4 linked regions of the Notamacropus eugenii genome follow. The protein of the gene in region 4 purifies or fractionates together with the protein of the main gene of each other region. This does not show direct contact. Links are inferred from orthologs where the notes say so. Each region holds a gene or a part of one and is shown on either strand. Other genes may lie near its edges.

What was found.
Region 1: the proteins of TNFAIP3 (region 4) and TNIP2 purify together in Homo sapiens (affinity purification with western blotting; 5 studies listed by BioGRID and IntAct, with this or other methods). This does not show direct contact. The link is inferred for Notamacropus eugenii from reciprocal best matches to the Homo sapiens genes TNFAIP3 and TNIP2.
Region 2: the proteins of TNFAIP3 (region 4) and MTOR purify together in Homo sapiens (affinity purification with western blotting, with the first as the bait; 3 studies listed by BioGRID). This does not show direct contact. The link is inferred for Notamacropus eugenii from reciprocal best matches to the Homo sapiens genes TNFAIP3 and MTOR.
Region 3: the proteins of TNFAIP3 (region 4) and RNF11 purify together in Homo sapiens (affinity purification with western blotting; 3 studies listed by BioGRID and IntAct, with this or other methods). This does not show direct contact. The link is inferred for Notamacropus eugenii from reciprocal best matches to the Homo sapiens genes TNFAIP3 and RNF11.

Annotation. Positions count from the first base shown.
Region 1 is NC_092877.1:52,608,580-52,616,292, forward strand, and holds the start of TNIP2 (TNFAIP3-interacting protein 2), read right to left. Parts: upstream 3,378-7,713; 5' UTR 1,952-3,377; coding exon 1,544-1,951; intron 1,435-1,543; exon of another isoform or gene 998-1,434; intron 1-997. UniProt on the Homo sapiens protein: Inhibits NF-kappa-B activation by blocking the interaction of RIPK1 with its downstream effector NEMO/IKBKG.
Region 2 is NC_092876.1:50,533,658-50,541,377, reverse strand, and holds the start of MTOR (serine/threonine-protein kinase mTOR), read left to right. Parts: upstream 1-4,601; 5' UTR 4,602-4,704; intron 4,705-7,720. Other genes in the region: UBIAD1 (ubiA prenyltransferase domain-containing protein 1), read right to left, coding at 1,343-1,877. UniProt on the Homo sapiens protein: Serine/threonine protein kinase which is a central regulator of cellular metabolism, growth and survival in response to hormones, growth factors, nutrients, energy and stress signals.
Region 3 is NC_092873.1:511,485,485-511,493,310, reverse strand, and holds the start of RNF11 (RING finger protein 11), read right to left. Parts: upstream 3,430-7,826; 5' UTR 3,111-3,429; coding exon 2,988-3,110; intron 1-2,987. UniProt on the Homo sapiens protein: Essential component of a ubiquitin-editing protein complex, comprising also TNFAIP3, ITCH and TAX1BP1, that ensures the transient nature of inflammatory signaling pathways. Promotes the association of TNFAIP3 to RIPK1 after TNF stimulation.
Region 4 is NC_092873.1:224,323,833-224,332,236, reverse strand, and holds the start of TNFAIP3 (tumor necrosis factor alpha-induced protein 3), read right to left. Parts: upstream 3,577-8,404; 5' UTR 3,270-3,576; coding exon 3,195-3,269; intron 3,128-3,194; exon of another isoform or gene 2,649-3,127; intron 2,197-2,648; exon of another isoform or gene 1,857-2,196; coding exon of another isoform or gene 1,824-1,856; intron 1-1,823. UniProt on the Homo sapiens protein: Ubiquitin-editing enzyme that contains both ubiquitin ligase and deubiquitinase activities.

The sequences.
Region 1 (7,713 bases), on a different chromosome or scaffold from region 4:
TAACTCAAATTTTCTTTTGGTTGAGAGTAAAGGGGAAGGGGCATAAAACTACGGAAAAGACCTGCCCCCAGGGCAATTTGAGGCTCTAAAAGGAGCATGGTGGTCAAAGTCAGTCCTTAATATTAAGCACATTAACTTCCCACTTCAGCCTACAGGGGATTTCAAAGTTTCCTAGAAAACGAATGAACGATGGAATATGCATCAAGGGTCTGTAAATCTCATTATGCTTCCTTGTATTCTGGGGAAAAGTGAAGGTAGAGGATAACCATCCAACAGGCAGCATAGCATCCTAGAATCTGCATCTTCAGTGGACACAACTGAGTCAGCTCTATGTACCTAGGTGCCTCTTCTGGGTTTCCCCATGCTATAAAAGAGGGGGTTGAACCAGACTAGATAAATCTCCAGGGTGCCTCCCAGCTAAAACATTCATGGGCCTAAAGTCCCTTTTAGAGCAGGGAGAAACCTTGGAGCTTATCTAGTCTGGTCCTACCCTGTCACTTAACAGATGGGGAAACCCAAGACAAGCACACAGGCAACACAGCAACACAGGTTAGGAACTGAATTTACTAGAGGAGAGGCTTCCACCAGTAAAGGGCTGAAACGTAAAAGGTGTGTCAAGATCTTTCTACTACTGATATACACTCCAAATTCCAGTGTTAATAAGCTTTTACTGTTTCAATGCAATCAGGATTTTTTTTTTCTGGAAAAGAGGAGAGGAAAACACCTAGTCATAGGAATGTAGATTTGTTGTTGGAAGATACTTAAAGGTCAACAAGTCTAACCTACTCATGTTACAAATGAGGAAACTAAGGCACCAAGAAGTTAAGTGACTTGTCCAGGTCACACAGTTAGTAGGCCACCTACGGGGCAACAGGGGCACCCGCTGATAGCAAAGCGTGCCAAGTGGTCTGGGAATCTGCCGCTAAACTTATTAACAGATGACATCAATGAGCTTCTCTGGCCTTAGCTCAGTGCCTGGCACAAAGTCCATGTCGAATAAATGCTTGTTGATTGATCGGGCTTCAGTTTCCTCCCCTATAAAATGCCGGTGTTGAACTACATGACCTACCTACAGGGTTCCTTGCACCTCTGCCCGTCTAGCTCTTGAAGGCAGCAAAGACCGTCCAGCGAAAACCTAAACAGGAATCCCCTCCACAAAGTCCCCTAAAGCAGAACACCTCTACCAGTGGGGAGCTCTCCACCTACCCAACTTCAGTGGTTTCTTCCACTTTAGGACCGTTTGGACTGGTCCTACAGAACCACAGAATGTCAAAGGGCATCCAGTCCAACCCTGTGTGAGCAGGAATCCCTTCCCCGGCGTTCTTAACAAGTATATCAGCGTCTTCTTGAACACCTCCAGTGATGGAGAGCTCACCGCATTAGGAGGCAGCCCACCTTGTCAATCAATGGGCAGCTCTAACTGTTCCGCATCAAGTGAGTCAAGGCGCTCAGCCGCCCGGGGAAAGGCGGACAGAGTTTGGGACGGGGAGGGTGGGGACCAGAGGGGTGGGGGAGGGGAAGTTAGGGGAGGGAGCCTCCTTACCTGCCCCAGTCCTTCCTCCCGGGCGCGAGCGCTGGTCTCCTGCTCGCGGAGCTGCTCCTTGAGGTGGGCCACCTGCTCCACCAGCCCGTCCACAAGGGACGGCGCGGGCCCGGGCCCCAGGGCGGGCCCGGAGCTCTCGTAAGCGGCCAGACTAGCCCGTAGGCGTGCCACCAGGGCGTCTCGGGAGGCCAGCTGGCCCCGCAGGAAGCTCAGCTGCTGCACCGCCTCGTGGTAGAGGCCGCAGAGCGCGGCTGCACGCGGAGCCTGCTCCCGGAGCCTCCGGTTCTCGCGCTGCAGCCGCTCCACCGCCTCCTCCGGTTTCTCGGCCGGGGGCCCCGCCCCGCCGCTGGGCCCGGGCCGGGAGTCCTTCGCGCTGGCCCCGGAATCTTCTGTGCTTACGGATGACATGGCGGCGGGGAGCCGGCCTGAGCTAGGAGCCCAGGAGAGGCCCCGGCCCCGGAGTCCACTGGAAGTCAAGAGGCGGCTCCGGGCTGACAGTCCCTGCAGGAGGCCGGGCTCGGGCTCAGCTGTGGGTCCGCAATCCCGGCAGCAGGCCAAGCGGACGCTCCGGGATGAGGGTCCTTGCAAGAGGCCAGGGAGGGGCTGTGGGACGGCAGTCTGTGCAGGAGGCCCGGCTCGGGCTCCCCAGGAGGCTCGGCGGTGAGAGATCTTGCAGGGAGCCCGGCTCAGGCTCGGCGGAAGGCGAAGGGGCTCCGAGACCAGGAGCCGCGGAGCCCAAGGAGGGGCTGCGGTCTCGGGGTCCGGGCTGGGAGCTGGGGCAGCGTCCGCTGGAGGTTCCAAAGGGCGCTCCCGGGGCTAAAGGCCTTCGGGGGGCTCCCGGCAGAAGGGGGGAGCTGAAAAGGTGGGTTTGGGGTGAGATGGGAGCCCCGCTGCCCTGGAGCTGTGGCCAGCGACGGGAGCTCCAGGGGGGCTCAGAGGAGGGGCGGGGGCTCTGGACCTCAAGATGCTTTTAAGCGGCGTCTAGGAAGTCGGGGCTAGACCTAGGCAAGCCCGAGGGGTGGAGGCTGGGGAGGGCCCAGGCCGCGCGGGGCGGGGAGAGCACACGCCAACGGGAATTTCCTGCTGGGGCTCTCCCCGAGCATTCCCGGGGACTTTTCCTCCTGCACCCGATTCTGGCCTACCCTAGGCCGTTTTTCCGGGGCAGGGACCAGGGCAGTAGGGTGCTTGCTTAGGCCGGTGCAGTCTGGTCCTGCGCAGGCACTGGATGGAGGGAGAGCGCGGCCGGGGCAGCTGTCCCGGGTAGCTGCGCTTGCCCCGAGTCTGAGTCTCTGCTTCCACCAGTCCAGGAACCTCTGAGGGCTGGGGCCCAGCGCTTCCCTAGGTCTCCCAACTCTGCCTCCTAACATTTGCAACTGGAAGGCCCTTGGAGATCAGCTAGGCCATTGTAGAAGAAACAGAAACTCAAAGTAGGGGAAGTGACCTGCCCAAAGTCACACAACCAGTAAGTAAGTAAATTCAGACCCAGATCGTTTGACTACAAATCCAAAGTGCTCTTTTCACCAAACCAAAGGATTTCTTATCACTTTGAAAGACAGGATCTGTTAGGAGTGGTATGAGCCAGGGTAATACCTGGTTTTCAGTTCCAGGTAACTTACCCTCTCTAAAAAGGTCTAGGATTCCATGAGGTGATGGACTCAGAATGCAGATGGACATGGCCAAGGGGGGAATATGTTTTGCTTGACTATACATGTTTGCAACAGGGAATTTTGCTTTTCATGCTGGTGGGGAAAGGGAATGGAATGTGGGAGAGAGAGAAAATGGATCTCTGAGAAAAAATTTAACTAAAAAATAAAAGATCTATGATTCTATAAAGTAAAAACAGTAGTACTGGATTTGGATCAGGACCTGACTTCGGATCAGAGGACCTGAGTTCTAGGACCACCTTGGACAAGTCACTTTTGACCTTAGTCAAGAATCTTTCCATTTCTGGGTCTTAGTTCCCTCATCTGTAAAAGGAGAAGATTGGGCAAAGAAGTAATGATCATGCTAGACTTCTGCCCTGATTAGACCACATCTAGAATATTCCACTCAGTCCTAGGGGGTCACATTTGAGGAAGGAAATTCATCATCCAGAAAGCTCCAGAAGTAAACAGACAGGATGGTGACAAGCTTCAAACCCATACCATCATAGGATCCACTGAAACTGGGAATGTTTTACCTAGAAGTGAAGAGATTCAGAGAAGACATGATTACTGTCTTCATGTATCTGAAGACATATTGTTTTGAAGAGAGACTATGCTTCACTCAGGGTTTGAAGTCAAGTGTTTATTAAGCACCTCCTAAATTACAGGCAGGGCTGCTAGGTGGCACAGTAGATAGAGTGCCAAGCCTGGAGTCAGGGCCAAGGCCCCAAGTTCAAATCTGACCTCAGAAACTTACTAGCTGTGTGACTGTGGGCAAGTCAGTTAGCCCTGTTTGCCTCAGTTGCCTCATCTGTAAAATGAGCTGGAGAAGAAAATGGCAAACCACTCTACTTATAAACAATCTTTGTAAAAAAAAAAAAACCCAACACCCAAATGGGGTCACAAGGAATTGCACATGGCTGAAAATGATTAAACAACAACACATGACTGAACAACAACACTGTGGAAAGTACTGCAGATACAAAGATGCAAAAGATAGTCCTTGCCCTCCAAAAGCTCATGAGAGCTTTTGAGACAATCTAATGAGACAATGAGACAACATGCAAGTAACTGTGTACCAAAAAAAAAGGACAGTATAGGAGATAAATTAGAGATACTCAACAGAATAGTTTAAGTAGCATTAAGGAGGATGGGGAAAGGCTTCTTATAGAAGGTAAGAATTTAGCTAAGACTTGGAAGCAGCCAGAGAAGATGGAGAGTATTCCAGGTCCAGAGGACAGCCAGTAAAAATGAAGAAGTTGGGAAATAAAAAGTCATGAATCCTCTTTTTGTGTTCCACTCTGTGTGCACATAGAAACGCCCTGGAGGGATGGGGTGTTCAAATTCATAATTAAAAAATACATATAAAAAGAAGAGTGATTAGCCTTGTACAGCCTGGCTCTAGAGGGTGAAACTTGGAGCCATGAGTGAAAGTTGAAAAGAAGTCAATTTAGGCTGGATGGGAGGACAAACTTCCTAACAGTAATTTACAGTAATGTAATTACTGTAATGAAAAAGTGGAATAGGTTGCTTCCAGAGGAAGAGTGCCTCCTTTCACTAGAGATTATTAATTAAAACTCTTAGAGAAGGGACCCTTATTCAAGTAATGGTTAGATTAGATGGCTTGAGATTCCTTCCAATACTCTGCAGTTCCTTCAAGATCTAAGTGCCTTTATTCAATGAATATTCAAGAAAGTCAAATCTATGTATATGCTAGTAGGCAAATGAATGATAGAAGAGAAAACTACCAGAGTTCAGAAGAGAGACTTCCTTTCCGCTTTCCACATTTCCTTCCTCCACAGGTCTCAGAGCCTTCTATAGTCTTGCATCAGTTTGGGGAGTTTTTGTGTTGTTGTTGTTCTTTGTTTTGAATTTGTGAGAGTGCCCCTTGTGGCAATTCCCATGAAAAAGCCAGGAAATCATAGACTAGATGGGACCTTAGGGATTCTCTAGGTCTACCCTCCTCGTTTTACAGGGGAATACCCAAATAAGGTTACAAAGCTAAGTCAGGGACAGTCCTCGTGTCCTAGTTCCCAGACCAATGTCCATTTAAAATCATTAAAAAATAACCTTATCTCTACTCCTCTCTTTGTTTCAGTTTTGCAGGTGTGTCTTATCTCCCCCAAGTAGATAGATACCTATAAGCTCCTAGAAAGCAGGATTGTATCTTAATGTATTACTTCATTCGGTCGTACAGGGCTATGTACCTAGAAGCTGTTCTGCAAATAAGTGTTGGGTTTATCCTTATGTGAAAAATAACCAGTTGTCAAAATGGATAGGGATCTGAAATTAAAAGATTACACTGTAAAAAAAATTAGAAGAGAAAGATCAGGTATTTTCCCAGGGGAAATATTCTTAATCAAAGGATAAGGGTCATCCCAAAAGGCAATTTTGATTACATAAAATTGAAAGGCTTTGACATAAAATCAATGCAATGATGATAAGACCAGAAAAATTAAATTAGGAAAAAAATTTGCATCAGATATCTCTGATACCTAAGATATATAGTGAATTAGCGCAAATAAAACTTACGAGTCATTCCCTAATGTGTAAGTGGCTAAAAGATATGAATAAACAATTCTCCAAAGAACTGAATACTACAGTATGAAAGATTTGTCCTGAATACTAATAAAGACTGATAACACTAATAAGAAAAACACAAATCAACACAACTCTGAAGTGTAGCCATATATCCAGTAAAGATGAAAAAAGGTGGTGCAACACCTGTTCTACTAGGATTCCTCACCAAGGCTTCGGATAACTGACGTTTGTCTTTAAGAGCCAAATGAAATGGCAGGTGGAGAGGTAGCAGCTGGGGCTGGCCATTTGGTATTACGCTTGCAACTGTTACTCTTTTCTGCCTCAAATTGACCAACCTCATTCAGGGTTCGCCCCTCAGTCTGCTATTTGACTTTTCTCACTCTCTTAATCTTAGTTTGAGCTCTAGAATAATCCAGAATTATCTGTATATTTTCTTATTCAATAATAAAATTACAGTCTCTTAGCTAGAGTTTTTAAACTTAGCTATTTTAAAAATAAATGTTTGCTGATATCCTTTTTTCCCTCCACATCACCAGAATTCTTCTCAATATCTTTATCCTTCCTACCTAACAGAGAGCCATTCCATAGAACAATATTTTCATTAAATGTTATTCAACAGACTGGAGAAACCTCCTTTTCCAACAGTAATTACTCATCTCTATATTAAATCCTTTAATGTTCTTTGATTAAATATTAACATTCCTGAGCATATAATTTTTAAACAAATTAAATCAGTAATAAAAGCAAAGTCACAATTATTTACAATACTTTAGCTGTTTGAAAGATCACAGCCAGACCCACCTCTAACCTTTAATGACACATGAAGTTTATTTACGAAAACCCAATGCCACTATTCAGTTCACTCATGTTATCAACTTATATCTCAAGAATCTTCACATTTCTCCTCAAGATAAGAGTTAAATTCAATCAGGAATTTAGTCATCTTGCTTTCTCCTCTAAGCAGACATCATAGGTAAATCTCTCCAGAATGTACTATAAATCATCAATTCCTCACAATGTCTTCACAGAAATATCTTCTAATGATCAAAAAAATGACAGTTTTGTTTTGTCCAGTTCCTGACACTGAATATAATCAGTGTGAATTTAGTGATTCTTACCAGAAAAGTTTTCTGTCTTCTCCATATTTTGTCTTATAGAGTCTCATAGATCAAACACATGCGCACACACACACTTGCCCTTCATAGAAAAACCTCAAAGAATGACAGTTGCAATTGTAAAACTAAATGACTATTCCCAAATACTTCCCTTCTCTTCCCACCCCATTCTAAAAGATACAGGGACTACTTCTATTATCTCTACAGGAGAGCCTAGTGAAACAGATGTTTCAATGGAAACAGCCAATGTTGAAAGGCCTGTGGAAATACGGGCAAACTGATGGTACCATATAGAAGCTGTGAGTTGGTGCCCCTGTTCTGGAGAGCAATTTGGGATCATGCTGAAAAAGTGGCAATGATGTTCATACTCTTTGACCCAAAGATCTCAGTGCTAAGCATATACCCTAAAGAATTCAAAGAAAAAATGATGAAATAGACTGGCATGATGTATACCAAAATATTCATAGGAATAGTATGGGAGGGGGAGGAGCCCAAAAAAAGACTAGAAGCAGAGGTGATATCCATCTACTGGGGAAAGATTAAACATGTTGTGGCTCATGAATGTAATGGGACATTAAAACATTCTAAAAATGATAAATATGAAGAACCCCAAGAAGCATAGGAAGACATTAGTGATGCAAAGGTGATGCAAAGACAAAGATCAATAAAAGCATTAAAAAAAAAGAAAGAAAAACCAGCTATACCAGTATGACTAGGCAACAGAGGATAGGAAGTACCCAGTCCATACTGACTGGCTGTCTTAAAGGTTTATTTGAGCTCCTTTTAGATCCCCCTTTGCCCTACTTCCTATTTTAAATTCCATCATGGCACTCAGCCCCGTGCTGTCTTTTTCCCTTAGTACATGTTGAGT
Region 2 (7,720 bases), on a different chromosome or scaffold from region 4:
ACCCTTCAAGTTATTCTGCCTACTGCCAGAAGTTCTTCTGAAGGACAGACCAAAGTTAAATCCAAGCTCTCTCCAGAAGACTTGAAGATGGTCATCCTAACCCTTTCCTAAGCCTTGTCTCCTGGAAGCTAAAACAGCCCCAGTTCCTGCACTGCAGACTGGTGTGGAGACCAGTTGGTGTGCCATCTTGACCATCTTCAAATGGAGAATCTCCAGTTCCTTCCTTCTCCACCCCACCCAAACATCTCTGGAAGCCCCCTCCCCCACTCAAAAGGTCACTCCCTACTTCAGGGCCTCATCCTGGACAATCACAACATTCTCCTAATGGACCCCTCTGCTTCTATCTAATCTGTTCTCTAGAGCTGCCAAAATCATCTTCCTAAGGCACAGAAAGGCCAGCTCCCCTAAGGCCTTAGTAAACTGCTTAGGATTTAAGGTCCCCTATGAACAAGCAGACTTTCCAGAGTGATTTCACATAACTTAAGCTGGCTGTCCCACCACCCCACAACACATATCCTTCCATTCCAACCTAAGTGACCCTCTGGCTATTCCTCAAACTCCATTGTCACCTGCTTGCTTCTGGGCATTTGAAGAAGCCTCAGATGGGGAGCGTTTCACTTTTGTCTCTCCATCGCCAGAGCATGGCCCATAATAGGCACATACATAACTGCTGAACTGAACTGAAAATCAAAGCCAGTTCCCCTCATTAAAACAACAATCCCTAGAAATGATGACCAAAGGGAGAACAGCTTCTGGGGCCAGAGTCAGACTCCTAGAATGGTGGTTGGATGACTTTCTAAACTGACCTGGAGGTTAGGAAACAACATTAAGAACCCTAGTGAGCAGGAGGAGTCCCTTTAAGGGATGTCCACATAAGAGAAAAGAAAATGGTCCCAGTGGTGTGGAAGGTGGCAGCTACCCCTCCAAATCACTAACTGCTGTCAGGAGGCTTAGGCATACTCTGATCCAAGCTCCTCACTTTACACAAAGGAAACCTCTGGACTGTGTTAAAGAAATGACTGACCCAAGGTCCCCAGCACATAGGAATGGGTGCCAAGGCCAGCCTGGGGATGGGCAGTGACTGGTCTGAGATATCAAGCCCTCTCTAGGGAGCACGGGTAAGCTAGATTCCCGGTGATTTCTAGGGAGCTGAGTAGGGCCAAGGCAACCCCGAACCTCCTGGGGAGCACAGCCAGGCCTGCTCCAGAGCACCCTGGGGAGCACAGCCAGGCCCAGACCCCCTGGGGAGCACAGCCAGGCCTGCTCCAGAGCACCCTGGGGAGCACAGCCAGACCTGGCCTCTCAGACCCCCTGGGGAACACCAGGCCGGCCAGGGTCTCACCTCCGGTGTAGAGGAAGGAGCTGGACAGGCCCCCAAAGAAGATGAGCGCCAGGTGCTCGAGCTTGAGCGCCGACAGGCAGTAGAGGCAGGCGGCGCACACGCAGCCCAGCGTGTAGAGGAAGACGCCGAAGCGCACCACGTCCTGCGGCTCCAGGATGCGGTCCACCAGCGTGCGGTCGTCGCTCTTCTTGTGATCGATGCCCTTGGAGAAGTCGTAGTAGGTGTTGACCAGGTTGCCGGCCCCGTGCACGGCCAGCACGGCCACGGCGCTGCCCAGCAGCAGGCCCGGCTGCAGCGCGCCCTGGGAGCGGTAGGCCAGCGCGCTGCCCAGCGCCACGGGGGTCAGCGAGGCGCTGAAGCTCCAGGGCCGCAGCGCCAGCACGTACGAGGCGCACTTGTGGCGCCACGACCGCCGCGGCCCCGGCCCCGGCGCGGCCCCGCACGGGCAGCCATTCCCGGCCTTCTCCCCGGCACCTGCCGGGGGACCCTCGCCCGCCTGGATGTTGATCTCGCCCGGGCTCTGGGCCGCAGCCATGGAGAAGGCGAGGGTGGGCTGCGGGGCGGGGCTAATGGAGCACGTGGAGGGGCCGGGAAGAGCACGAGGAGTGGGCGGGGCTAACCTAGCGGCTGGAGGAGAGCTACAGGGGCAACGGGGGCGGGGCCAGCGGGGAGAGGGATATAGAGGGGGCGGGGCCAGAGGGGAGAGGGTATGGAGGGGGCGGGGCCAACGGGGAGAGGGATACAGAGGGGGCGGGGCCAGCAGGGAGAGGGGTACAGAGGGGCGGGGCCAGCGGGGAAAGGGGTACAGAGGGGGAGGGGCCGGCGGGGAGAGGCGTACAGAGGGGGAGGGGCCAGCGGGGAGAGGTTACCGAGGGGCGGGGCCAGCGGGGAGAGGGGTACCGAGGGGGCGGGGCCAGCAGGGAGAGGGGTACAGAGGGGCGGGTCCCGCTGCCTAGCAGAGCCGGGGGCAGGGAGGGGAGCGGACCTAGAGAAGGGAACGCGAAACCCACTGCTCCCACGAAGCGAGGCGGGGGCTTTTGGAGGGGCTCCCCGCTAGGTAGAGAAGGCTGGAACGTCGCCAAGCGGAAGAAGGGAGCGCCCGGGAAAGGAGGATACGGGAGGCGGGCAGCCGTCCCGCTGGAGGCCTGACCTCCTCTGCCCCACGGATGTCCGGTCTTCCTGTCACTCAGGCTCTGAGTCAGTGGCAGTGCTGGCGCCGGCCCGGATCTTTCAGCCAGTCCTAGGGGGCCGCCATGTTGTGCTCTGGCCTTTGTCGGCCGTGCGGAAACGGGCCCCCTGAGCACTTAGGGCCGGGGAAAGAAGAGCTCGCCTTGTCCCTCTACGCTGGGGGAGCTCTCCATCCCTGCTCCCTAGGACCGTTCATTCAGTTCCAGTGAAGGAACTTGTGTTAAGCTACTGTATGCGAAGCACTGGGAATACAAAAAGGAAAGGCCGCGATACAGTTTAACCTGTGTGACCTTGGTAACCACTGCACGTGTCACAGTGTTTACCGATGCTTCATTCATTCTTGTCAGTTTTTAATATTTGTACCTCCAGGGCCCAGCACAGGTGCTAAAGAAACGTTGCTGTTGTTTTTAAATGAAGACAGTCTCTTTGAGAGGGGAAATCACTTGCCCAGGATCACAGGGATGAAAGTTGAATTTCAGGTCTTTAACTGACCTTTAACTCCAAATCCATTCCTCTTTCCATTGCCTCCCTGAACCCCCAGAAAAAAAGATGGGCTGTCAAAAGAAAGAGTAGAGACCCTGTGGTCCTGTCTGCAGCTGAGTCACAGCCTTTCTGGGTGACCAAAGATGAGATACAATTCTTATCCTGCTTCACATGAATAGATTCCATTCGTCACTGGTTCTTGGTTCCTTTTTCCCCCTTTATTTTTTATGTATGCTTTCATTCAAAATAAGAGGCTTGATGGAATATCTCGAAACTCCTCCCACCTTCATATTCTGTGAAACAATGTGATCAAAAAATCTCTTAATTACTCTGTGCCAGGCACTATGCTAAATTTGTCTATTACAAATGGAAGAGGAGCTGGGGCAGAGAAATCAACAAGAAAACAAGCTTCATTGTATCCAGAAAGTGGTTGATCCCAGATGACCTTGGGAGTAGGAGAGAGGCAAGAGTCTCGATGAGGGGGCATGATTGCATTGGTGGGCTATGATCTGCACTGTTATGGGAAATATCCACATTAATAAGTTCACAGAAGCCAAAGGAAGACCGTGTGATACGCAGATTGTGTAAGGACGGGGATCCAAAGTAAGGGTAAGATCATCAACTTTAATTGGGCTTGATCAGGGAGGATGGGAGAACAGAGCTGTGCCTTTTGAAAAATCAGTACTACTTGGAAACAGTGTAATAACTCATTTATATACTGATTTCACAACCCTGGTGCAAGTCTTTTTATACCCATTCCGCAGATGCAGAGGCTAAGAGGCTAAGTAATGTGTTCCCCGAGTCCTACAAGTGCCAAGTGTCACAATCCAGATTCAAACCCAAGTCCAGCTCACACACACACCCATACCCCCACACAGTTTCCACTACTCCACGCTGCCACTCTAGGCAGAGAGCCAAGAGGGAGCATGAATGGGGAGTGCGTAGGGCAAGCAGCCAGACTCGGGGCAGGGTTTGTCCTGGAAACCAGCACACTTGAGCCCTCGCGCTGGAGTGCGTGACCTCGGGGACCTCGAGGATCTCTGCTGGGGTTTGGTAGGAAGGAAAAGGCCTGGGGCCCCGGGGATCATTTCCCAGGTAAAACTCCTGAATGCGACACGAAGGACGCCTGGGGAGGGGACGGGTCGAGAATGTGTAGCTTCGGCTCAAGTTCACGTGCGGATCCATGCAAAGGTCCATGCTGGGCACTATCACGAGTGGAGGGCGGGGCTCTGACCCAACTCTCCAGCTCTCTCGGCTGAGCCGATACGAGCGAGAACTGCCCGGCGATCGAGGGGGCTCATTTCAACGGAGCACGCACTGGAAGCCGGGTCGGAAGTGGCAAAGACGGCAAACTTGCTGCTGATTGGCCTGTGCCGGTGTTTCTCGGCCCGGTGCTCGCCTGTGACTGGATGTGCGGCTTGTCCATTTGAACGGCCCCCGCCTCCTTGGGGGGCCGAGTTCCAGAGCATCCCTCCTTCCCCTCTGCCATTGGTCGGTCTGCCCGCCCATCTCCTGCTCCGATGTGCCGGTTGGTCCTAGCGGCTCGGTGCCCCGCCCTTCCCCACCCGGCTCGGAGGGCAGCCGGGAGGGAAGGCGGGCGGTGCTGGGGGTGGGGGGTTCCGGAGCGGCGTCGGCGGCGCCTTGGGCAGCTGCACCGGCTGAAGGGAAGGCCGCAAGTAACGCAAGTCACGGTGAGTCTGGAGCCCGCCGCTCGCTTCCCTGGGCCGGGCAGGGGCTGGAACCCGGCCCCCCGCGTTGGAGGGAGGCCGCGGCTCCCCCGGGCGCCCTGGGCCCTGCAGACGTCCCCGGGGCTCGGAGCCGCCCCCAGACCCCGGCTCGGCCCGGCCTCCAGCCTCCGCCTGCGGCGCCTTCCCGGCCCCGGGGCCTCCTGGAAACCCCATCCCACTCTGTGCCCCCGGCCTAGCCAGAGCCTCCCCAGAAGCCCCCTGCCTCGGCGGGGTGCCCCCCGACGGTCACATGCCAGCCACAGCGCCCCTGGGTCCTTAGGGGCCCCCCAGAGTGCCCACCACCACCCTCACGCCCCCAGAAGCAGAGCCCCCTGTTACGCCACCAGAAGCTCCCCTACCTCTCCAGAGTGCCCGGGTGGGAAGCTTCTCCAATTCATCTGAGCTTCCTGGAGGTGCCCCCAGACTCCTCCCCAGAGTTCCCCCCAAAGGCTCCCCGCTTGCCCTGAGCTCAGCAGCCATCCCGTCTCATTCCTGCAGAGACCCGCCTCAACCCCACATGCCGTCAGCAAGACACCCCAGAAGCTCCCTGAAAGTCAGCACAAGACCCCCAGAAATCCCCCCAACACCACCAGTGTCATCCTGCACCCCCTCTAAACCCACTTCACTTCTATGCTGCCTGATTCAGAAGCGCTTGAAATGCCCCCGGATGTCATCACTCACAACTTTTCCTCCACCTTCTTAGACTCCTCAAAGGCTACCTTAATAGTCAGTAGTTACATAAACATTTATTAAGTACCTACTGTGTGCCAAGTGCTATGCCAGGCCCTGAGTATACAAATAGAACAAGAAAGAGGGTCCCTGCCTCCAGGAGTTTATAATCTTATGAGGGAAGACCACACGCAAAGGGAAGCTGAAAATGGGTGGAGGGATGCCCGGTGGGGGGACATGGTGGAGAAGCCCTGAGAAGTGCAGCCAAGTGAGCCATCAGGAGCCCCCTCCTTAAATGAAGATCTTGGCCCCATACTCAGTCCTAGAGGTGCCCCAGGCAAGGTGGAGAGGTCATTTGATTTGGGAGAAGTTCCAGGATAATGCAGCCAGGTGATTAATGAAGAGACTCAAGTCAATCACCTGCTCCTAGAAGATTTCTAGAGACCTTTCTAGACCTGTCACACATAACTTGTACCCGCAACACATATCTTGTACCCGCAGCCCCCCATTTCTGTAGACCACCCTAGGTATTCTTATCCAGCCCCAGCCTTTCCTGACTGTCCAATGACAAATTTGAACTGGATAAGCTCAAGAGGTTCCTTCTACTGCCAGTAAGGCCCAGACCCCTTTCCTGAGGAAGGTTCAGCTGGAGGAGACTTCAAATATTTGAAGGGCTGTGGTCTTGGGCTTCGCCCCTAAGGCAAAACCAGAAGTGGGTGGAAGGTACAGAGGATGACTCTCCACTAAATGTATGGGAAAACTTGCTCCTGAGCCCAGGTCCTAAGAAGGACTTCTATCCCTGGAGGATTTCAGGGGAGGCTGGATGTCTTATTTTCAGGAGCTGAAGTCTCAGCTCAGGCCCTGAGAGTCTATAAACATCATAGGTTATACTTCAGTAACACTTTGTAGAAATGTTTCTAGATTACCCATCTACTATAGAATGCTCAAAAAACAGATCTAAAGTAGGTTCCACCTTCTCAAGGAACCACATCAATTGATCACTTATACTGGAGAGCTGAGGATATTTTGCCTAGAGAAAAACAGACTTACTGTTTGTCACAGAGCAGAAAGATTAAACATGTTTTGTGTGACTTCAGAGTGGAGAGGCTGGGGCAGTGTGTCAATTATTAGCAGGTGAGTTATAGGCTCAGTCATGGTAAGAACTGATCAGAAAGCCGGCTGACCAGGAATTGGGTACTTCCTCAGGATATATCACTGTGAGATAGGTAGTACAAATAAGGATTATCCCCATTTCACAGATAAGAAAAAGTAATGTTCTAGGAGGTAAGTGACCACTTAAAGCCACCCAGCTGTTTTAACAATCAAAGACCTGAAATTTGGATTCTTCTCATTTCAAGTTGTGTTCTTCACCACACACTGTAAAGTAGTGAGTTCTCTGTCACCTGGGAGTATGTAAGCAGAGACTAGGTAACTAAATGTCAAGGATGTTGTACATGGAATTTGTGTTTCTCAGAATTCAGATTGGAAGGTATTATCAAGTCCAACACCCATGCTTGACCAGGAATCCCCTCCATAGCATATGCGATCCAAGAAGCATTTTGAGACAAACGGTCACCTAGCTTGGACTTGAAGACTAGTTATGTTAATTCTCCCTCCCTCCCCCTCCCCCAATTCTTCATGGCCTAGCTCCTCCCTGCCTTTTCAGACTTTATTTCATGTTACTCATATGCAGCCAGACTGGCTTCCTACCTTGTCTCTAGACTCATTCTGTTTCCTTTCACATGCTGTACTAGTATTTAGAATCCACCTCCTCCATACCTGCTCTAGGACTCCTTAGCTTAGTGTCCCTTTCCTCCCCAAATACCTGGTACATATTTACCCCCACCAGAATGTAAACGCCTCAAAAGCAGGAATTGTTTCATTTTTGCCTTCATCTCCCAAATGAACAGCACAGTGCCTTAGGTCGGGTGGGTACTTAACAAGTGTCTTGTTTAAATTGAATTAATAGCCTCTAATGAGAGGGAACCTACTCCCAAGACAGCAACTTAAGTCAGGCCTGCTGCACAGCCTGCAGTCCATGGGCACAGGCCTAGCTTAAGTAAAGGCTGGATGACCTCTGAGGCCCTTTCAGCTCAGAGTCTGCTTTGGTAATATTTATATAGCTTTACAGATAGAATTCTGTCTTCACCCTTCACAGACACCCTTTTCAAGTTCCACCTCTGTCTACTCTAGCTACTTCCCAAGGTCCTGAGCAAGCTCACCTGCCTCCCCACTGATCCCTTCTCTGGGCCATGGTGTAGCACACAGTGCCAACCCCCGAAAATAGCCTAATGAAGACTCCTGTCCTGTG
Region 3 (7,826 bases), about 290 Mb from region 4:
TTGAGAGGATTATAGTTCTTTCACAAATCACAAAATGTTTAACATTTATTCTTATTCCTTAAGAAAAATTGATTAAAGAACAAAAGGCAAAGTTGTGCTTGAGCATAAATTCAAAGTTTTACTCCCCAAAGTCTTTATCTTCATTAAAGGGTATGACATGGCTGCGTGCTGTAGCAAAAACAAAAGAGAATTTCTATTTCTAATGTATATCTGTCTGCCACAATCTTACATGAACACAAAATAGGCAGAGAAATTTTTAGTAAATTTTAAATTATTGTAATGTTGCAAAACCGCAAATGGGCAGATTGTAAATGTGCTCATGCAAATGCTCCGAGCACCACTCATTCCTTGATAAATATTCATTACCAAGCTCTCATCCGGGTGACTGGGTGCAACAAACCTTCCTGGAAATGCTTTCTTCCTTCAACTGATCTCATTGCACTTTAGATCTCTACCATGACTAAAATATGAAATGAAACAGAATCTCTATTTAAATGTCCACTCTCACCCTACTAGACTGTGCAAGGTCCTAAAAGAGAGGAGTTTCTTATTCACTATACAGTGTTTAAATAAATGTCAAACAAATGCATGGTGTCTTGAGGAAAGGGAGAGGGGATGGGACAGTTATAGGTTTAAATTTCAGAGTAAAATTGTCCATACGGAATCTTAGAAAAAAGGGCCTAAAATACAGTGAATGCAATTATATAACCAAAAGCATTCAAATCTTGGGAAAATACATGAGAATACAATTGAGATGTGATCTTTAGGTTGGTTTCCATAAAAGATTAATAACGTAAAACAAAAACAGAATTGTAAATAGAAACAGTTCTTACAAGATATACAACTACATTCTTCTTCAAATGGCAAGGGGTTAGAATGCCAGATGGATTTGGAAGTCAGAAGGTCTGGGTTCAAATACTGGCTCCACCACTTAACTACTTGTGTAAAATAGGGCAAGTCAATCATCTCTGGGCCTAAGCTGCTCATTCTATCAAATAAAGAAGTTGAACTAGATAACCTCTCCTATCCCTTTCCAGTTCTAAATTTATGACCCCATAATATTTACTGATTTTAAAGACTGTCTATACAGCAAACTTTTAAAAAAGGCATAAGCTTATTTTAGGTTGTATATACAACAAATAATAAATGTATCAAAATTATGTTTTGCCTCAATGAGTTTAATGGAAGTAACAAGGTAAATTTTAGTAAGTTTATTCTACAGAGGACTTGGTGTACATGTATATTGTGTAACAGAAACAAAACTTAAAGGCCACATCCTAACCTAATCCGTATGGTGTAATACCAAGTTTGCCTCTACATACTTAGCTACTCCCTGACATAAAATAATTCCTACTTCATTTATCACTCATTCCTTAAGACATGGCAAGCCTAAATTAAAAATTTCCTGTAGTTTTGTGTTAATTATCTACCATTTCTTAAAAAAAAAAAGACAAAGCTACTTTGTATTACATTAACAAAGGAAAAGAATCATCATGAAGATGAATATTTAAATCACCTGGAATAATGAATCTGAGCAAATTTCTTATCCTTTTAGGAAAAACAACACAAAAACATGGCTGACAGTGGTAAGTCCTGGGCTTCAACACTTCCTAGGAATGTGACAAGCATAGGCAAACCACTAAATCTCTGTGAGCCTCAGTTGTCTCAAATGTAAAATGGGGATAACATAGGGATTCCTTGCATCACAGGGTGCTGAAAGATAAGTGTGGTAAGATGCGTAATATATATGTTAATATAGTTTTTTTCTCTAAAAGAAACAGTCCAGTCCTCTTTTTGAAATTATATCAAAGTCTTTCAGTTAACAACAAATTCTCAATAGGTGACTATCCATTTCTTGGAGGCAGGTTCTTAGGATCCATTGGTTCTTTAGGATTTAAGTTCCTTTAGAGAATGGTGTAGTAGCCGACACAGCAATGGTCTGGGTCAAAAAAAGTTGGGCTCAAATTTCACCGCAGACGTTTAATGTATGTGACCCTGGAGAGACTGGACCTGATGGCCTTGACCATCCCTGCTAACTCCAAAGCTACGATCCTCGGACTGTACTGCCTCTGTCCTCCAACACAGCCGGGCCTTAATAAACGTCTGTTAATTAATTCTTTCCTGCTGCGAGGAAGGTCAAAAGCGAAAGAAGGTGCCACTGCCAACACCAGGCAGAATTTCAAGGGAGGGTCTCACGGTCCAATGCAAGCCTCCCTGGCTTTGGGATTCCTACTGAGTGGAAATCATGGGGCATTTCACCCAGGGTCTTCATTTTCCTTAACAAAGAAGTCACCTCTAAGCCCTCGGCTACTAAGACATCAGGAATATCCAGCACTCTGGGGGGTCTACCTCAAAAACAGACCGGGAGCCAACACGGGCCTCCTCTGCTTCGCCCACCGTGCCCAGGGAGGAGGCGCACGTTTGGGCCTCAGCTTGAGCCTCTCCAAGTCCTGCCTTCTCTGCCAAGGATGCCCGGGCAGCGTCGGTAAACGTAATGCCAAACACGCAAAGCTTCACCACCTCCTGCCTGCCTGGTCCTTCCGGTGTGAGAAGGCCACCGACTTAACCCAGTCAGGAGAAAAGAACAGCCCCAGACAGTGATGTCACCACATGAATCAACAAAGGAGGCCCCGAGTCGGGCCACAAGAACTGAGCCCCTCCGGTTCCAAGGCAGGGATCCCCCATCACAAGGCGGCCCCCCTCTCCCCAAAGTGCTGTGCCTGGCCAGTGCTGACATGGTTTGGGGCAGGGTTGGGCTACCCGAGGCCCCTCGAGCCCGGGGCGCCCTCCTGGAGCACAGGGGAGGTGGGGGTTCTGCGGGAGGCGCCCCCTCCCCGGGGACCAAGGCAGGCCGAGCCGGGGCGGGTTTTTTCAAAGTGCTTCCGCACAACCAGGCTGGCCTCCAAAGGGGGTGTGGTGGGGGCTCCAGGACGTTCTCTCTGCCCCTCGGGCCCGCCCCCCGCCCCCCGCCGGGCCCCCTCCCCTACCTGATATGGCGGCGGCGGCTCCTGATCCGGCTCCGTGCCCTCCCCAAAGCTGGCCGGGTCCGACTGAGACTCGTGGAGCAGGGAGATGTCATCCGAGGTGGGGGACTTGAGGCAGTTCCCCATCTTCCGGGAGTGCGTGCGAGGACGGGGGAGGGGGTGCAAGGGGGCGGAGGGCTGGGGGAGGGCCCCTGGGGGAGCCGGCGGGGGGGGTCACTCGAGGGAGAGGGTCGGCGGCTGTCGCCGAGGGGGGGCTGGCGGGGAGGGGGGGGGTTCCGGGGCTCCGCTGCCTCGTTCCCGGGGACCGCTCTCGCTGCTCCGGCCCGGCTCAGGCTGGCCGACTGCGGCGGCTCATCCCCCTGGGCGGCCCCGGGCGGCGGCTCGGGGTTCCGGGCTCCGGGCTCGGGCTGGGCCCCGCGGCGGCGGCCTGGCAGGGAGGCCGGGCTCGGGCTCGGGCGGCGCTGGGGGCGGGGGAGGGGCCGGAGCGGCCGCGGCTGCCCCGGGGCCCCGCCCCCCGCGAGGGCGGCGGCTCAGGGCCGGGCCGGCCGAGGCCGGAGGGGGCCCGGGGCCGCCGACACGGACACCGCGGACACGGCGGGGACCGGCGCCGCCGGCCAGGCCCGCATCCTAGCCGACCCACGCAAGACCGGGCGAGGCGAGGCGCCACCACAGCCGAGCGACCGCCGCCCCCTCAGCGCCGGCCGCCACAACGAGGCCCGGCGCGACGCGGCGTGCAGCGGGCCCGCCCGGCGTCGTGGCGTCACCGCGCTGTGCGTGCTCAGGCCCCGCCCCTCGCACCCCGCCCCGCGGGCCCCCTCCCTCGCGCCCCGCCTCCCGCGTCTCGAGACGCTGCTGCGCTGGCTCCCTCTTCCCAAGGGTCCTCCCTCCCTGTCTCCTCCCTCCCTCTGTCTTACCCTTCTCTTTTTTCTCTTCGCACTTCACTATTCCTATTTTCAAAAGAGAAAAGAAATGCAAATTGTATTAAAAATGGACAAATGAAATAAACTGATCCAAAACCATTTTATTTAATGACATCTTAATAAAACTTATCAAAGACACAGACGAATACTTAGACATAAGGTGCCCGGGTGATCCAAAGCGGCAGGGACCATGGCAATAATCCACCGTCCCCCAAAGGAATCGAACGAAGCCCAAATGCACCACCAAGGCCGGACGCCCAGCCCGCAGGCTCCCGGGCCTCAGCCTGGGCTCCGGGCGTCGTCCGCCTTCCCCGGCCCCAGCACGTGCTCGTCCTTCCCGGGCTCCGGGCGACGTCCGCCTTCCCCGGCCCCAGCACGTGCTCGTCCTTCCCGGCTCCGGGCGTCGTCCGCCTTCCCCGGCCCCAGCACGTGCTCGTCCTTCCCGGGCTCCGGGCGACGTCCGCCTTCCCCGGCCCCAGCACGTGCTCGTCCTTCCCGGCTGGCCGCCCGCCTTCCCCGGCCCCAGCACGTGCTCGTCCTTCCCGGCTGGCCGCCCGCCTTCCCCGGCCCCAGCACGTGCTTGTCCTTCCCGGGCTCCGGGCGTCGTCCGCCTTCCCCGGCCCCAGAACGTGCTCGTCCTTCCCGGCTGGCCGCCCGCCGTCCCCGGCCCCGCTGCCTTTCGACGCCTTCCCCGCCTGTTCTGCAGAAAGCGATTTCTGCCTTTTGTTGTTTGCGTGTTCCTTGTAAGCTCCTGGAGCTCAGCAACATCCTGTGACTCTTTAGCACACAGCAGGTGCTTACTAAATATTGATTGATGGACTTCTTGCCCGTCCGATTATGTGAGGTTATTTTTCTGGATCTCCTCTGTCTTCCTCAGTGTATTTTTCTTCCTCTCTCTGTCCTGCTTGGAAGATCATGAAGACTCTGTGAGAGGAATACTCCTAGACCTTGTGTCTAATTAGCCTTGAGGACAAGAGGGTGAGGTGGGACCCAGCTAACACCTCTCCATGTTTACCCTTGTTTAGTCCCTTGGCTTTACCTTCTAACGTTTCTCCTGACTCCTGCGTTTGGCTTTCAAAGGTTCTACTTAGCTCTGGTCTTTTGATCAAGAAAGCTTAGAAGTCCTCCATTCAGTAAAGATCCGTATCATGCTCCATTTTACTGCGTAAGTTATTTTTCATTTTTCATCTCTATCCTCTGTCTGCTGGCCATATCCCAAGCTCTTCCCTCCTTTCTAGGGGTGGCTGCTAATCATGTGTCATTCTGACTGTGGCTTCCTCTGTACTTGAATTCTTTCTTTTTGGACGCTTGTAGTATTTTTTTTTAATCTGGAAAGCCCTGGATTTTGGCTATAATGTACCTGGGAATTTTCATTTTGAGGTTTCTTTCAGGAAGGAATAGAGGCTGCTTCTACTTTGCCCCCTGGTCCTGATCTGGGCTGTTTGATGACTTCTTGAAAAATTATCTCTAGCTTCCACCCCCCTTTTTTTTGATCATGATATTCAGGTAGTTCAATCATTCTTAAATTTCTTGACTCAATCAGCTTTTCTGTTGTTTCTGCTATGAAATACCTTTATCTTTTATCCTTTCAACCTTTTGACTCTATTTTAATATTTTTTATTGTCTAATGGAGTTATTGGTCTCTTCTGGTCCATTCTGATTTTAAAGAATTTTTTTTTTCAGGCTTGGTCAAGGTTTTGTATCTCTTCCAATTCTTTCTTTTATGGCTCTTTCCCCACTGCCCTATCTTTTTCTCTAGAACTTTCATTTTATCTAGGAAGAAAATATTTTTAAGCTCTTTCTTTTTCTCTTCCTAGAAGTCTAGTTTAAATTTATGCCAAAACTGTGTTTTTCTTCGTGGCTTTTCTTGTACATGTTTTGGAATAAATCTCTTCTGTATTTATGTCTTGATTGTCCCTATCGCCGTAACAGCTTTTTGTAATGGTATTGTTTTTTATTTGTTTGTTTGTTTGCCCGTTCCTCCAGCCTGCATCTTGACTTCAACCTTTATGTTAGTGTTGGACTCTGTATACGTCTGGAGGGAATGTCCAGGCTGGTCCTGCTGTTGTTTTCTTGTGGTGTTCAGTGTTGTGTTATTCAGAATCTCTGGACAGCTCAAGTTGGGGACCCACAAGCTTTCACTGCACTTAATGTGGGAGGGCATAGTGATCCAGAGCAAAATCTGATAACTGGCTCCCTGATCTGAGCCCTGCAAGTTCCTGACCTGGGTTTGTATCTGACCAGCATGTTTGTGAGCTTGCCCTGTTTGGAGTGTCAGTAGACTGCTGTTGAATTCATCTAATAATCAGCCAGCTGGAAAGTTCTGCTGTTTCAGAAGGACAGAAATGCAGTCTTCCCTTTGGCCTGGAATTCCTGCCCTGGTCATTTTTTCCTACCATATCATACTGTTGTCGCTGCATATATGTTGTTTGCATTCCATTCAACTCCCCATATTCTTTTTGGATGAACTGCGTCTAGTTATGTATAGCAATGTCTGTTACTCATGTGTTCAGGAACCATATCAATAAACACTTTTGCATAGCTAGAAATTCATGTATGTCCTAAACTTCTTTAAAAAGACCACCTTGGAAACATGACTGGTCCAGGGAATTAGGGTTTGAACAACCAATCAAACTTCCAGGCCTCCTAAGGCATAAAATCTCAGCCTGTAAGTAATTAGGTTCCTCAGTCTTAGCTAACTTCCACCTCCATACAAGTCAAAACAATTCTTCTGATTGTGTCCCCTTGGTGAATTGGGAGGAGTGCAGGGGCAAGGGGAGTGCCAAGGTGAACTGCAGTCAACTGAACCAACAGTGTATCACTGTTGAGTAGCCTTTCCATGATACTGTTGAGTAAACTTTTATTAGAGGTTATGTGGTCCACAAGTGTCTCATTTTATTTGAGGCCTGATCCTGGGCCACTAGATTGACGTGAGTAAGACCTGGCCCTGAATGTCATGTTTTGTACTGGTAAAGTTGATTTTTTTTAACTTAAGTGGAAAACTTTGCATTTTTCACTATTAAATTTCATGTTTTTCAGTTCAATCTGATGACCTCTTGAGCCTTTCAGGGTATTTTAGAATCCTTTCTCTCTACAAAAAACAGACACATATGCTTGGACACTCTAAACAGCATTTTTACTCAACATGGAGTCAATAAACAAGTAATCAATGCATGATAACAAGAGAACAATGCATAAAAACATCTAATAAGTAGCTGCAAGTTCTGTTGCTCTTCTAGTACCTGGAAGCCCCCCAGACACGGGCTCTATCTGAAGTTCTAAAAAATACACAATTTGAATCCTCCATTGAGTGACCAAAGAAGTACAAACAATACGTCATAACTCAAAATTCATTGTAGGATATTCATGCATCAAGTAGGACTGGTGAAGATGGTGGTGAAGAAGGCAGGTAAAGAAATACTGGAGCAATGGGGAACAAACTCATAGTCTGATTGGACTTGAGAACAAACAGTTTTTTTGGTCTGGGTTTTTCTGTACTGCTCAGTGATCTAGAACCTCCTTTGGCTCCAACTCACTCATGACTGGTAGAGCAGTATAGGCAGACCCAATAGTTTGCCCCAACAAAAAAAAAAAAAAGAAAAAAAAGAAAAAGAAAAAGCTGTCCACTATATGTTCTAATGTCTTCCTCCCTGACCTTCAGCATGGTACTCCCCTGCCAGAGCTGTATCATTCATTTCCTGTGACCACCTCCTCCCTTGCTCTCTAGACTGAAGCCCAGATGTTCAGAAGGACATAGGGAGAGAGGGGCAGCTATAAACTAAGGGATGCCACATTCCAGTTTGGTAATCCTATCAAAAAAGGAAATAAGATTAGTCTGGTATGACCTATTCTTGATGAAGCTAGGTTGGCTCTTTGTGGTCTACTTGTTTACTATGTCTTCTAGAATTTTCTCAGGAATTGA
Region 4 (8,404 bases):
GTAATAGTTAGAATTGGAGTTCAATTATTATTCATCTCCAAATCAATAAAAGCTGGTACTCCAGATGCCAACTACTGGCTCTCTTTTTCACCCCCCAGGGGCCTTCACACCTAATCAAACAGTACAGGAAAATGAGGGCCATGAAGAGGAAATGGAAAGAGCAAAACATAAGAAATATGGAGAAGCAGGGAGGCCAGCAGAGATTATCTTCTAGCTAGGGTGATTTTAGGTTCTAGCTACCAAACCCATTTTGGCTAACGAGTCATAGTGGTGCAAGCACCAGGTGTTTTCATTGCTTCCTTTTCCTATCATCACATATTACTAAAAAAAAAAAAAAAAAAAAGACAATGAAAATCCCCAAACATTTCCCAATTATCCCGGTATTTCCCCAGGTAGTCTCAAAGTATCTCCCTTTCTTTATATGACTCCTGAACCTTCAAGGTGACAAAGATATGCATCAAGAATGAGTTGGCTCTGGTACTGTATCAAGAAAGCCTTTTCACAGCACTCTTCCAAGGCTGAAAGCTAACCTACCTTCCAAGGCAAATATACATATATCTTAGGGATGCTGAGATCCTTGCTTGCTACTTTGGCCTATCATAATGCATAAGGTATTAAGTAATGTAGACATCTGCTACCCTATAGGATTTCAAATTATGGTGATCACTATGAACCCTGACACTTCTTTCATTATTATTATTATAAAAAATGTAAAAGGTTTTTCTCTAGTGGAATTTTTTTCAATGACTTCAATTTCAATTTGACATTGCTATATGTGATTTCAGGTGAATAATTTTTCCTTCCCTCAGCCAAATGTTAAAGTGTTTTTCTCTCTCGATAGCAGGGAGACTGAAGGCTGCAAGTGTGGTCTTTCAAAATGTCCTTGATTTCTCCATCAGAAACATGTTTATAAAACTCTAACCTTCGAGGGAAATAAGATGGGCAGCACTAAATCCCTTGGAGAGAGGAGGTCTTGGCTTGCATCCTGGCAAATCACTTGCACTATTTGGATCTTAACTTCATCTATAAAAAAGGAAGACTTAACACTTACATGACCTCCCTGACAGAATGGCTCTGAGTGAAATGTTTTGTAAATCTTAGATCACTTAAAAATGGGTCACCATAAAAAGGCCTTTAAAGAGTCCTGAAAACATGTGAAGAATGAATCACCCTTTTATTCACTGCTTCTTCTAGTCCCAGAGGTCTTCCTTAAATTGTGAGAGCCAAAATACATCCACACAAACCCATCTTAACATCAATATTCGAGAACATGAACCAACTCAACCATTTACCGCAGTCCTTCATCCTCCAAAAACTACCCACTGAAACAAACAAAAATACCCCCTTCCAAATTTCCAGTTCTTAGACCTCACTCCAGATGGGGCCACGGAGTAAACATTTCTAAAAACAGATGGTTATACACTTGTAGAAGACAAGAAAATAGTCTTATGAATATGTAAAAAAAAAAAGGTGATGTTTTGTAATATTTCTTTGACTCATTTCACAAAAATTTCCCCAAATTCTGTCACTGGGAACTACAAAATTCTTTAGAAGTTATTCATATCTAGAAGCCTCCTCTTTTTTCCTTTTGGTTTTTCTTTTTCTTTTTCCATTTTGCACAGGTGCTTTGGCATGCGAGATGGAAATCTGTGAACTGTATCAACGAAAACCCCAATTCCATTCTGGAAAGCACTCCTCCAAAGCCTTAAATTCCCCAAACTGCTGGAGGCAAGGTCCGGTGCATTAGACTAGAATATCTGCATCACTGACTGGCCCACAACCTGGTCTTTGGATCCTTTAGAGCAGCCAGCACGACGCCTTACCCTTAGCACGGGTTCAACAATTGCTTCATACATGCAGCACTGTGCCTCAGTTTCCCCCAAAGCAATCACTCTTTTCTTTCCTTCCAGTGTTAAAGATCTGTGTCATCATCTCTTAAATCTTTCCCTGTTCATGTCTCAAGACTTCAGGGCTTCCATCGAGGGGAAGGACAGCCAGCTTCTGAAGCCCTTTATCAGCCTGGTTTCCCTAGGAGAAGAGAGCTGCAGGCAGCGGGCTCCGGCCTCAGGCCAGTCCTTCATGCCCCGGCCGTCCTGAAGAGGCCAGGTGGCAGGATGTGGGACAAGCCAGCCCGGCGAAGCTGGCTGACCAGGGCTGGGGGGGGCAGGGCTTTCAGCGTCTGCGGAGCTTTAGAAAGCCAAGAAGCCGACCCCGTCCGCCAAGGCCCCGGGGAGGCGCGGCCCGGGGAGGCGCGGCCCGGGGGCGCGCCGCAGCGTCCTCCGCCTCTGCGCTCTGCACCGCGGGGAATGCCGCGTTCTCCGCGCTCTCCGTGGCCCTGGGCGGACAAGGTGGAATCCCCCTGCGTGACTTCTAATTGCTAGCTTCTAAAGTCGGCGCTTCCACGACTCTAGCTAACGTTCCGTCCCTTTGCAGCTAAAGGTCTCCGCACGATCTCTAATTCATCTTAAAGGCGCAGCCCTTCGGGGGGATCCGGAGGCGCCCCCCGCCCCGGCCTGCCCTCCTCCCCTCCCCGCCCCATCACCACCACAAGCTGCAAGCCAGGGGTCAAGGTCCGTGCCACCCTCGTGCGGCCGGATCGCGCCCACTCCCCTGCAAGGTTTGGGGGCGCAGAGGTAGGTCGGGGTTACCTTGGCGAAGCAGCAGCGAGCGAGCTCCCAACGAAACGCCAAAGTCCCGAATATTTAGTGCACGAGCAGGCCCGGGGCCGACGTGAAGGTCGTAGCGGCGGGGCGCTCCATGGGCAGGCAGGCAGGCAGGCAGCCTGGGGCTCGGCTGCGCTAAGTCCGGCCGGGCCGGCCTCCGGCCGCCTCCACTGCCGTCACCGCTCCCGGACTAGGACTCTCCTCCTCCGCCGCCGGCCTGCTCTCCCAGCTGCTCCACCCCCGCCGGCTCCTAGCCTAGATCCTAGATCCTAGAGCCTAGATCCTAGAACGACTGCGCCAGTTCTCCTTTTTCCTTTCTTTTAGCCAGGGTAATAATATATGAGCCCGGGGATTTCCAGCCTGGGCGCTGGGACTTTCCGACATGTGACTGTGACGCCCAGCGGCGGCTCTCTGCAGAGCACTCGGACCGGGGCGGGCGCGGGTGCAAAGGGCTCTGCCCCGGGCAGGCCGCGCACCGCCGGCCACCAGGGGGCTCCCGCAGGGGCCCGGGGGGCCCGAAAAATTCCTCACCCTTTCAAAGCCGGGGTTGTCCCCGCGTGACTCAACCTGGGCATTTCGGAAGCGCCGGCCGGACGTCATGTCCATGTGGAAATCGCGGTGATGGGAATGAAGACGGTTCTTTTTTTTTCGCCGTCGTTTTTCTTCAAAAAATAAAAACAAAAATCACCTACTTTGGAGAAGAACAAAAAAGCGGAGGGAGGGGGAAACGTGGAAAGAAAGGCCTCGGTTCCGCCCCCGCCGATGACTGCCTCCCCGGGGGCGTCCGGGGGCCGCTTGCTCGGGAAGGGCCCTCGGTGCTCGAGGGAGTTGTCCAGGAATCCCGGGCGGGGGCAGGGGGTGTCACGGTGCCTTCGCCTCCTCCGTCCGGGCTCCCCAGCCATCGGTGCCCCGTAGCCACACCCCCCAGGAGGCAGACCCGGGCCGAGATGCGGAGCTCTCCCGGATTTCAGCCCCACGGGGGGATTGGGACGTGCTGGACCGCAGCACCCCCTTCTCCCTGCTCCTCACCGAAGCCCCAGCCCGTGATTCTGCATCGTCACCAAGGTGCCTCATTGGGACCCCCCACCCACCTCCACCCAAAAGTACCCCGTTCTCTCAAACCTTTTTCTGACCTCCAAGGAGTCCTGTGTCAGCTTCCTTAGAAAACCCCCAGCTGGTGACTGATAAATTTATTGGCGATAGTGACAGGGACTGTGATATGACTGATGCAGGGAACTGCCGAAAGAGGAAACTCCATCCACCGAGGCAGGTTGGCACCTTCTCTGACAGCTGTCATCTCAGAGAGTGGCCAAGAGCCTTGAGTGACTTGCCCAAGGTCCAGCCCAAAGACTGGATTAGATCCTGGCTTTTTCTAGTAAAAAACCACCACCACCACCATCATCACCACCATCACCACCACCACCACCATCACCATCATCCCCACCATCATCATCACCACCATCACCACCACCACCACCACCACCATCATCCCCACCATCATCACCACCACTACTACCACCATCATCACCACCACTACTACCACCACCACCGCCATCATCATCATCATCATCACCACCACCACCACCACCACCACCATCATCCCCACCATCATCACCACCACTACTACCACCACCACCACCATCATCATCACCACCACCATCATTATCATCACCACCACCATCACCACCACCACCACCACCACCATCATCATCACCACCACCATCACCATCATCACCACCATCACCACCATCATCACCGCCACCACCATCATCATCATCATCATCCTTATAGGTAGGATAGTTCAGAAGCTAAAATCTATAGGTTTTAAATCCTGCCTAAGGCATGTATTGAATGTGACCCAGGTCAAGTCATTTAACCTGGAAGGCAAAGTTGAAGAGAAGGTATTACCTGCATTGGCAAAGGGAGTTCTCTGTATCAATGGAATCAGAGATTCAGTATCTATCACAATTATTATTACTGGTAGTAGTGGCCAGAATAATAGCCTATGTGTATGGAAAGGGCACAAAACACTTTCAAGCATTGTCAATCAATCAAAATGTATTGTTTTTTACTGAAAAAGCTATCAAGATTTATTCTCATAGTGAGAATCACTGATGGAGGCGTCTGTTGGACATTTTTATGCTAAAAACTTTTCTCCCAGGCATTGGCATTCAAATATATGCCATTTATTGTGCAATGCTCACGTTTAAAGTATGTCAACCCACATCACTTATTGAGTATTGATAATGTGCATAATGCTGGAATATACTTATGGTCTGTACCATCTACTTTGGTACATAATTATACATGATAGTAAATCATTAGCTGTGTTATGAGTTGGACTTATTTCTCCCAAATGATTGTAAATTCCTTGAGAAAATGAGATTAGATGGTTTCTAAGATCCCTCAAAGTTCTCAATCTATGTCAGTCAATATTTATTAAACAGCTCCTATGTACCAAGCATTATGTTAAGCACTGGAGATGCAAAAAAAGGCAAAAGATGGTCCCTGCTTTCCAGGAGCTTATAATCTAATGGAGGATGCAACATGTAAGCAAATATATACAAAGCTATATGCAAGGTAAATAGGAAATAATTAAGAAATGGAAGCCACTAGAATTTAGAGGCATTGGGAGAGACTTCCTGTAAAAATGGGATTTCAGTTGGGACTTAAAGGAAATCAGGGAAATCAGTGGGTGGAGTTGAAGAGAGAGAGCATCCCAGACATGGATGACAGCCAGAGAAAATACTCCAGCCAAGAGATGAGGGGTCTTGTCTGTGGAACAGCCAGGAGGCCAGTGTCACTGAATCAAAGTATACCTGGTGGGGGGAGTAAGGTGGAAGAAGACTGAAATGGTAGAAAACATTGAGTTTATGAAGGGTTTTGAATGCCCAGAACATTTTGATTTTGATCTCGGAGGTGATAGGGAGCTAATGATATTTATAGAGTAGGGGAGTGTCTTGGTTGCACCTACTCTTTAGGAAAATCACTTTGGTGACTGAAAAGAGGATGGATTGGAGTGGAGAGAGATTTGAGGCAGATAGACCCACCAGCAGGCAGGCCATTGCATAATCCAGGCATGAAGGGATGATGGCCTCCATTAGAGTGGTAGCAGTATCAGAAAGAGGCATATACCACTGGTACTACAAAGTCAAAATCCATAGACTTTGTTAACAGATTGGTTACAGGGAGGGAGAGATAGTGAGGAGTCCATGATAACTTCTAGGTTGGGAGCCTGAGGGACTAGGAAGATTGTGTTGCTCTCTATAGTAATAGGGAAGGTGAGAGAGGGGGACGGTTTAAGGGGAAAGATAATGATTTCTGTTTTGGACATTTTAGCTTAAAATGTATACAGGACATCTAGTTTGAAATGTCTGAAAGGCATTTGGATATGGGAAACTGGAGGCCAGCTGAGGGTTTGGGACAGGATAGGTAGATTTGAGAATCATCCTCATCATCAAGACAGCAATTAAATCCACTGGAGCTGGTGAGATCATCAAGTATAGTAGTGTAGAGGGAGAAGAGAAGAGGCCCGAGACAGAACCTGGAGGAACACCTCAGGCACACCTTAGAAGTCATGATCTGGATGCGGATTCAGCAAAGGAGACTGAGAAGGAGCAGTCAGATAGGCTGAAGGAGAACCAGGAGAGACCAGTGTTCTAAAAACCTCGAGAAAAGAGAAATTAAGATGGAGAAAGTCATCAACATTTTCAAAGGCTGCAGAGAGATCAAGGAGATTGAGGACTGGAAAAGGCCACTAGATTTGGCAGTGGATTGGTAATTTTGCAGAGAGCAGTTTAAGTGGAATGATAAGGTCAGAAACTGAATTGTAAGCAGGTAAGAAGAGTAGGGAAGGAAAGTGGTTAGATAGAGGGGATGGTCAAGGGTTGTTGTTGTTTTTGAGGATGCAAGAGAAGTGGGCATATTTGTAGGCCATAGGGAATGAGCCTATAGACAGGGAGAGATTAAAAATAACTGATAGAGTGGGGATGACTGTCGGAGGAGATAGGAAGCAATGGGATTGATTAAACAGGCAAAAAGGGTTACCTTTAGTAAGAAGTAAGGCCATCTCATCATGTGAGACAGAAGCGCAGGAGTAGATAGTGGCAGAAGCCATTTGAATGACAAAATGGCCTCAGTTTTTTTTTCTGTAAAATATGATATCGGGAACTTAGCTGAGAAGTTGGGGGAAGTCCAACCTAGGGGTGGTTTGAGAGAGTAGGATAGTGAATCAATAAGGGAAGTATAGTAGGATTGCCTAGCAGTGGTGAGGGCTTATTTCAGGTTGTATAATATAAATTTGTAGTGAACCCAATCATAATAGTTGAGTGATTTTTCCTTCTTTCTTTGCTCAATTGCACATATATAGGAGTGAAGACATTGAATGGTGAGAGTGATCCAAGACTAAAGCTTGGCAGGGGAGTAAGCCTAGGGTCTGGAGATACCAGCTATCAGGATTTTGATTGGGTTCTAGAAATGAATAGCACGAATCTCAAAGGGAAAAGAAGGATGGAGCTAGGAAGAGATCTTGGAAGTGGCAAAGGGGAGCAAGTAGTATTCTAATTCCCCTGACTTGGTCAATGATCCAAGGAGAATGAGCAAAGGTGTAGCCAATACTGGAATGAACTCATGAGGTGTAGGCTGCCTGAATGTAGGAATACCTGGTTTCAGATGCTACCTCTGATACTTACTGTCTGACCATGGGTAAGTCACCTTGCTTCTTATAGCTTCAGTTTCCTCACTTGTAAAATGTGGTTAAGGAACATCAGTTCCACCTCACAGACTTAGGATGAGGGTCAAATGAGATAATGTATGTAAAGTGCTTTGCAAACCTTAAAGCCACATATGGGTACCTTATTTTTTATCTTTATAATTGTCCCCATTTTACAGAAACAGACTCAGGTGTAGTAACTTGCTCCACTTCATCATCCCCCCCCTCCCAGGAATTATTGAGTTAATAATCTCCTTAATTTGTAATAACTACCAATTAACATTTTCATTTTAACTCCAATCCCTCTGCTGAATCTTGGAATTTGGGTGGTATGTGAGTTCTTTGGAGAGGAGAAGGTCTCAAATCATATGACAACGCTTCTCTGCATTTTGGCCCAACTCTGGTTCCTACTGCCTCAGTGGTTTCTGCTCACAAGGAGCCTGAAAGGTCTTCTAAATTAGAACTGTTTACTTTTGGAAGAGGAGACTCGAGGAAAACTGTAGTTAAGGGATGTGTTTAAGATAACCTGTGAATAGATGGAAATGGAGATAAGATTCAGCATTAAAACTCTCCCTTATCGATGATATTGCTGGTGTTTCTTCTCACTGTTGACTAGGTGAGTCTAACGAGGGAGAACGGTGACTGGATTTGGAATTAGAGGATAGGCTTGAATTTTGGCTTCCCTTCCTTCTGGGTCTCAGTTTCCTTCCCTGTAAAACGAGGAGGCTAAAAAAGAGAATCTCTAAAGTTCCTTTCAGTTCTAAATAATATGAAACCTATGAATTCTGAACTGGCCAAGAGCAAGGTATGTTTATCTTTATATCTTATCTTCTGGTACTCTATCTCAGGAACATTTTAAATTGCTTTGAAGTAAATGAGGGAGAGTTTGAAAGAGATCCTTGGACATGTTGACAAATGTTTGCATGTTGTCTTACCCAAGTAGCGGGTGAGCATCCTGAGTGGGGATTGTCTTCATTTTTTTTTCTGTTTGTATTGTTCAGGCTTAGCACAGTACTTGGCACATAGCTAA